Nothobranchius furzeri: one gene and its partner. The protein of the gene in region 1 binds, or shares a complex with, the protein of each later gene. Links are inferred from orthologs where the notes say so. Each region holds a gene or a part of one and is shown in the gene's direction. Other genes may lie near its edges.

Evidence for each region.
Region 2: flcn (region 1) and lamtor3 share a complex: the UniProt entries of both Homo sapiens proteins name them as parts of the lysosomal folliculin complex. The link is inferred for Nothobranchius furzeri from reciprocal best matches to the Homo sapiens genes FLCN and LAMTOR3.

The regions. Positions count from the first base shown.
Region 1 is NC_091745.1:76,768,592-76,772,512, reverse strand, and holds the start of flcn (folliculin), read left to right. Parts: upstream 1-1,034; 5' UTR 1,035-1,241; intron 1,242-1,359; coding exon 1,360-1,566; intron 1,567-1,900; coding exon 1,901-2,047; intron 2,048-2,133; coding exon 2,134-2,355; intron 2,356-2,460; coding exon 2,461-2,627; intron 2,628-2,724; coding exon 2,725-2,816; intron 2,817-3,921. Other genes in the region: leng9 (leukocyte receptor cluster member 9), read right to left, coding at 448-553. UniProt on the Homo sapiens protein: Multi-functional protein, involved in both the cellular response to amino acid availability and in the regulation of glycolysis.
Region 2 is NC_091758.1:44,828,044-44,831,319, reverse strand, and holds lamtor3 (ragulator complex protein LAMTOR3), read left to right. Parts: upstream 1-1,201; 5' UTR 1,202-1,318; intron 1,319-1,497; 5' UTR 1,498-1,520; coding exon 1,521-1,529; intron 1,530-1,899; coding exon 1,900-1,934; intron 1,935-2,007; coding exon 2,008-2,066; intron 2,067-2,140; coding exon 2,141-2,274; intron 2,275-2,368; coding exon 2,369-2,432; intron 2,433-2,500; coding exon 2,501-2,574; 3' UTR 2,575-2,739; downstream 2,740-3,276. Other genes in the region: dapp1 (dual adapter for phosphotyrosine and 3-phosphotyrosine and 3-phosphoinositide), read right to left, coding at 3,157-3,180. UniProt on the Homo sapiens protein: As part of the Ragulator complex it is involved in amino acid sensing and activation of mTORC1, a signaling complex promoting cell growth in response to growth factors, energy levels, and amino acids.

The DNA.
Region 1 (3,921 bases):
TGAGCATCTCTGCTCAACTCTACACCACACATGACTGCAGAAGAGTCACTTCAGCAGAAGGCTGTGGTTGAAAAGTCCCCTCTCCATCCTTGTCACCATTACCAGTGACCTACTGACAAGATGCATCTGTAGAGCAACAGGAAGTGACTGCAACTTGTGGTGAAGATGGCCAAGTCACTGGAGGCTCACTCAGACAACAGAACCAAATCTGACCAACATGACTGGCAGGTGGGTAGACACAGGGAAGAAAGACGGCGAGAGAGAGAGAAATACAGATTTTTTTATATTTATATACATATAAATATACATATATTGAGAGAGAGAGAGAGAGAGAGAGAGAGAGAGAGAGAGAGAGAGAGAGAGAGAGAGAGAGAGAGAGAGAGAGAGAGAGAGAGAGAGAGAGAATGACAGACATGAGAAAAGACAAACACTAAAACAGGCATTTACCTCTCGTGGCTTGTTGGGCATCTTTCCTACTTTTAGTTTCAGCTGGGGGGGTCCCTCCACCGTCCACTGCGGATTCTGGGGGAACTCCTGATCCGTCTGACGCCATTCCCAGTTCAGAAAGGCTCCTACGTCCCTGTTGGGCTTTGCCTTTTCCTTTACAATGAAACACGGAAGTTACTGATGAGCTAATAAAGTAAACACACATGCTGTAAATTCAACATTATACAATGTTAATTACATTTAAATCACAAATACAAACGTTTTAAGAAATGGTGTTTTATATTTATTAAAAGTACATTACCACACGGTCCTCTGTAGCTCCGTACTTTTTAGCACTCTAGAGAAACGCTGACCAACTCATTCGTAACCTTTACCCTCCTCGAACTTAACTCTGGGTAATGTAGTTTTATGTTGTCTTTCGACGAAACACGCTTCGTAAAGTCAAATGCTAGCAACACATTTTCCCATATGAAAACTATCTGCTCACAGACGACATTATTTTATTTTAAATAAATCATAAAATAGTAATTATGATTAAACTTAATCAACTCCGTGACGTACGTCATGATTTGTGTCCGAGCGCGTGACTCGAGGTCACGTGACTGTGCTGTTTGCTAACAACTCGAGACTGAGACGAGAAAGTGCTGAGAGGATTTATTCTCTTGAATTCGCGCGTTTTATACGAGACATGTAGACGAAATATTTGATTTAGCGTCACGCTTTTGTTGTTTATACATTTTTAACACAAACGAGTGAAGCAGCAGCGAGCTCCAGTCTAACTCTCAGTGCTAAAGGTGAGATCCTCTCGTTGCTGCTGGTTAAAATGGCTTAAACGGGTGTTAGCTTGTGAATAAAAACTATGTCATAAATTACGTTGATTAGATTCTCATAAACGCTTGATCCGTTTCTCAGATGAATGCTCTGGTAGCTTTGTGTCACTTCTGTGAGCTCCATGGCCCTCGGACACTATTCTGTACCGAGGCGCTACACCCTCCATCCCCAGACCCCTCCTCTCAGGTGGGCACCCCGGTTCCAGGGGACAGAGATGCTGATCGGGAGGGTGAAGGTCTGACCATGAGGGCCAGCGGGTCTGTGTCTCAAAGAGGGGAGATGTGTGAGGTGAGTGGGCATGCGTGATGGGATCTCACCCACAGTAAACCTTGGAGAAGGTTCATTCAATTCAGTTTATTTATAGTCACGACAACAGTCGTCTCAAGTCACTTCACATAGTAAACATTTCTATACAAAGGAACTCAGCAGATTGCAGTGCTCACACTAAGCAAGTGTGTAGCGACAGTGGAGTGGAAAACTCCCTTTTAGCCCCAGAAGAGCCAGGCTCAGTATGAGCAGCCACCCGCCACAACTCATTATGGTTTAAGAAGATAGAGCAGCAACATTATTTAATAATCCTGTAATCGAAGTTCTCCTTTTCCCTCCTGTCCATGCCTCACAGGGATGCCGATCTCTACCTGCGTCTCACCCAGGCTTCGTGAGCATCGATGATGAAACAGGAATTCGCTTTGTGAGCCATCAGCACCCCAGACAGTCTCAGCTTTTCAGTGTAGTTCGTCAGGCTTGTGTACGCAGTCTCAGCTGTGAGGTAAACTCTACCTGATCTAACTGAGGAGGACCTTTTCTAACCTCCCCTCCTCCAAAAACGCGAGTCTTTTTGTTGTTGGGTTTCAGGTGTGCCCTGGACGTGAAGGGCCGATCTTTTTCGGTGATGAACAACACGGGTTTGTGTTCTCACACACGTTCTTCATCAAGGACAGCCTGGCCCGTGGGTTTCAGCGCTGGTACAGTATAGTTGTAGTGGCCATGGACAGGATCTACCTCATCAACTCCTGGCCTTTCCTGTTACGACACCTCAAACTCACTATACAAAGTCTGCAAAGCACAGCTCTAAAGGTAGAGCCTAAATGTAGACTGTGCATTCATTTTTTTTTACTGGACAAACACTTTGTCATTTTAATAAGTCAGTTTGTGCTGTTTTGCCATCTTTTTGTCCATCAGGTGTTTGACACTGAACAGGGTATTTGTCCCCAGCGAGCTCTGAGGATGAACAGCGTGTTTTCTCCTGCGGTTTTTCCACATCAAAGAAGTGGCAACGCAGCCCGATCGCTAACTTCTCTCACTCAGCATCCCAATCTCTGGGCCAGCCTGCATTGCTCCTTCAGCTGGTGAGTTGAGATAGACTTTTAATAGCCAGCCATTGTGATTTCTCCACGTTACTTTTATGACTTACCAAGCTGATGTGTGTTTTCACTTCCTTTTTAGGTTACTGAAAGCCTGTGGTTGTCGTCTGACAGAAAAGCTCCTTGAAGGAGCCCCAACAGAGGACACGCTGGTTCTTCTTGAGAGAAAAACAGGTAGAAAGACATGATTTCATCAGACATTCACTGCTATGGCTAGTGTTTTTGTTTGTTCAACTAGTCAGCCTGAAATCCGTAAGAGTGAATCACAGAGTCGATCGGGAAAGGCATTTGATCCAGGAAAACATGACACACCACTTCACAGTTAAACCCCGGTTTGTCGAGATTTAGAAAGTGATTAAAAGACTTTTGGAGAATTTTTGGGGCTCGGCCCAGACACGACTGTGGAATGAACTTTGTTCATTGATAAAAAATAAAAATAAATGTCCAAACAAAAACCTTTTTTTTACATGATTCTAAATCATTTAATGGAAATGATCAATGTTTTCTTCAAAAACCACAGAGCAGCTTTGCAGTAGTCACAGCCTGGCAGCCCACAGACATTCCTGGGTGTCTCCTTCTAGCAGATTATCTAATGCGACCCCCCCCCCCCCCCCCCCCCATATACCCTATGGGCCAGCTGTTCCCAGATCAGCGCAACAGGGTTCTGGCACGCAGCAGAAAGAAACATGATATTTTCAAGTGATCTCAAATATTTGTCTGGTAATGTAGATGATAGCTAGCCTGGCCGGCCAGACTCGTCCTCTGTTTAATTCTGCACAAAGAGTCTGGTAACTCACAGGCGGAGAGGCACTTGAGGGGCGGGACTAGACAGCTCAAAAATAACCAATGAGAAAAAAGACGTACATGCCGACTGTACCATGCAACGCTGTAGTTAAAAAATGGCGTCTAGCAACGGCGCAGACATCTATTATTCTTTTAAAGTCAAAGTTAAAGTCCCATTAGTTGTCACACACACAGGTATGTGTGTGACATTTATTCTCCGCATTTGACCCATCCCCTGGGGGAGCGGTGAGCTGCAGACACAGCCGCGCTCGGGAACTATTTGGTGGTTTAAGCCCCCAATCCAACCCCTTAATGCTGAGTGTCAAGCAGGGAGGCATTGGGTCCCAATTTTTCAGTCTTTGGTATGACCCGACCAGGAGTTGAACCCCTGATCTCCCAGTCTCAGGACACTCTACCACTAGGCCACTGAGAAAGGGTAGAAGAAAGGCTTTTAGCACTTCTGCTTGTTGTGGTTCTAAAGACATTCAAGTAATTT
Region 2 (3,276 bases), on another chromosome or scaffold:
CACCCTATCTCTAAGGATTGAGGGTAGGAACGTAGATCGACCGGTAAACTGAGACCTTCGCCTTCCGGCTCGGCTCTCTCTTCACCACGACAGACCGGTACAACGCCCGCATCACTGCAGATGCAGCACCAAGGATTGAGTCTCTGCTTTATGCAGATGATGTGGTCCCGTTGGCTTCATCAGAACATGATCTCCGGCTCTCACTGGAGCGGTTCACAGCCGAGTGTGAAGCAGCTGGAATGAGCATCAGTTCCTCTAAATCTGAGACCATGGTCTTGAGTCGGAAAAGGGTAGAATGCCTTCTCCGGGTCAGGGATGAGGTCCTGCCCCAAGTGGAGGAGTTTAAGTATCTCAGGGTCTTGTTCACGAGGGAGGGAATGCTTGAGTGCAAGATTGCAGCATCGTACCACTCGATCCTTCTTTAACGCCTGAGCTGATAAAAGCATGATCTTACAACTGCTGTTGTCTGGCTATCTAAGTTCATGAGGGGGTCTATCTCAACTCCCAGGTTGGTAATGAGAGACCTCCTAAAGGGTGCCAGGGAGGACAGGTCGCCATCAGGAACTTTCCCAGGGCCATTTGTCCCTAACAGCGTGACCTTGTCATCATTGCGCCTGAGGAAATGTATTGCCATCCAGTTTCTGTCATCGAGACGGTCCAACAGGGACCGCTCAGAGGCGGCGCAGACGTTCCTAACATGACCTGATAGTCAGCTGTACTGTGTTCAGGTGAAACCAGATGCACTGCCTGCGAAGTAAAGAGAGAAAGGTGTGTGTCATGGAAACATGCAGAAAAATCATGCCAGTTATAGTTTGTTGTTTTTTAACATTCTCATCACACGTACCGTAGTTTGATGCTGTTACACGCACTTATTACAAAAATCCCTAGTGTGTGTGTGTGTGTGTGTGTGTGTGTGTGTGTGTGTGTGTGTGTGTGTGTGTGTGTGTGTCACGAAAAAAAAAAGGGAGATTGTATGATCCTTGTGATGAGTGATCAAATATTTAAAAACCGTACAATCATAACAATATGCTAAACAGTCATACTATTAGTGATGAAACGGTAAAAAAAATCACGTCATATAAAAACGTCAGACTTTCGAACAGGTTGTAAAAATATCTAAACGTATCTTGACATTTGTCCTGTTGTAAAGCAGGGTAATACTGCCCTCTCGTGGCTAAAACCACGCAGCACAGACTTCCGTAAACACTTCCGCACAAACCGGAAATAAGCCCCGTATGTCATGTGACTTAGCTGGTAGCTGGTAGCTCTTGTTTAGCATGTAGAGCGTCTCAGCGGTGTTTAAAGTCATCTGAAGACGGTATTTGTGCATTTTTTATAGCTTATGTGTGTTTTGTTTAGCGGGCCGTTTGTACCGGAAGCAGCATCTCTGTTGATTAGCTGACATGCTAGCTTGTTTTATTTAAACTTGAGTGTAGACTTTGAGTTAGTGGTTTTTGTGGGAGGTTTTATTTGTTAACATTCGTTTTCTGCCCACAGAGACTTAACTAGATCAGACCGTCATGGCAGACGTGAGTATGACCAGTTTTCTCAATTTTAAAGAACTTTTACAGTTTTTTAAACAAAGTAAGCTAGGTGTGTTTATGTTGCAAACGGAGACGGTTCATTTTGGTGTTTTCTAAGGTCTGATCAGATGCAGCTTAAAGCAGATTTCTCTAGAAGCTGTTTTAATCAGTTAAATGAGTCACGAGTCTGAGATTGATTTGTTTTGTCTTGAGACGCTGAAATAGGAATTAAACCAGCAACCAGACATTTAAAGCAGCAGTCTTTTTATTATTTTGCGTCCAGTTGTCATTTTGTTCACACAGCACTGATGGAGTGGTTTGTTGTCTTACTTTTATAATAAAATGTTTAATCCAGTTTTTGTGGGTTTCTCTGCAGGATTTGAAGAGATTCCTGTACAAACAGCTCCAAAGGTTGGTGTTTCCATGGGAACGCTCAGTGTTTCACCCGTATGTAGTTGTTACTGATCCATTTAAACTCTCCCAGTGTTGAAGGTCTTCATGCCATCGTAGTGACGGACCGAGACGGTGTTCCAGTTGTGAAAGGTAAGGAGCCAGTGCTAAAGTCCTCCTCACCTGCCCGGGTAAGGGGGCCATGTCCTCATTTCTCATTTTTACAGTTGCCAATGACAACGCCCCCGTCCAAGCGCTGAGACCCGGTTTCTTGTCCACCTTCGCTCTGGCCACAGATCAGGGCAGCAAACTCGGCCTGTCCAAGAACAAGAGCATCATCTGCTACTACAACTCCTACCAGGTCACACAGCAGCTCCTCTGAGCGTCGGCACAGGGATGCATTAATGTTCATGCCTTTACATAAGTCTCCATGGTGATGCGTGTTTCTTAATCAGATTGTGCAGTTCAATCGCCTCCCCCTGGTTATCAGCCTGATCGCCAGCAGCGGTGCCAACACAGGTAACATCTGTCTCTATGGAGACAAACAGATGTTCAGTCTGGTTCAGTGTTCTGTTCTGTGTTCTCAGGTCTGATCATGAGTCTGGAGAAGGAGTTGACTCCTCTAATAGAGGATCTGAGGCAGGTGGTGGAGGTGACATAGTCTCCGACTCACCAGAAGACTTGCTGCTCACCACCATCCTCACGATGTGTTTGGGTTCTGTAGGAAATTCTGCCTGCAGCTTGTTCAGTGTGGACCAGATTCATTCACGTTGCTGTAAATGTTTCCATCTGTGCTTTTAGTCTGAATAAATGTGTGGGTTCTGGGCACCAGAGTGGTTCATTTAGAGTTAAACCTAAAGAATACAGATAAGAACCTCAGAGCAGACGGAGTCCAGATGGTTTCAGAGGCTTTAATTTAAACATTCATCAGTCATGAACAAAGTGTTTCCACAATAAAACTGGTTCTCCTGCTTCTGGAAACTCACATTCTCATGTGGAGATATAAATAAGCCACTCACATGTCAGTTCTACCCACAATGCTTTGCTGCTGGCATACAGCATGGCGAGCATCAGAACCCTGACATGTCTGAGCTTCCAGCTAACTGGTGAAGCAGTTGATCTTCTGATGGACCCATAAAGATCTTCAGAATGAACAGAATTCATTTAAAATATGAGTCCTGTTCCGGATGGTTCTCATTCACCGTTTCCACGACAACCTGGAGGAGGAAGCTGCAGACGAGTGTCATCGGCCTCTTCTTACCTGAGACTGGAAACACATAGTTGGTGGATTAATGGTTGAAACTGTAAATACATTCAGAAGTATCAAGTCCTCTGAGCTTCAAGGCTCCTTGGACTCGTCGGT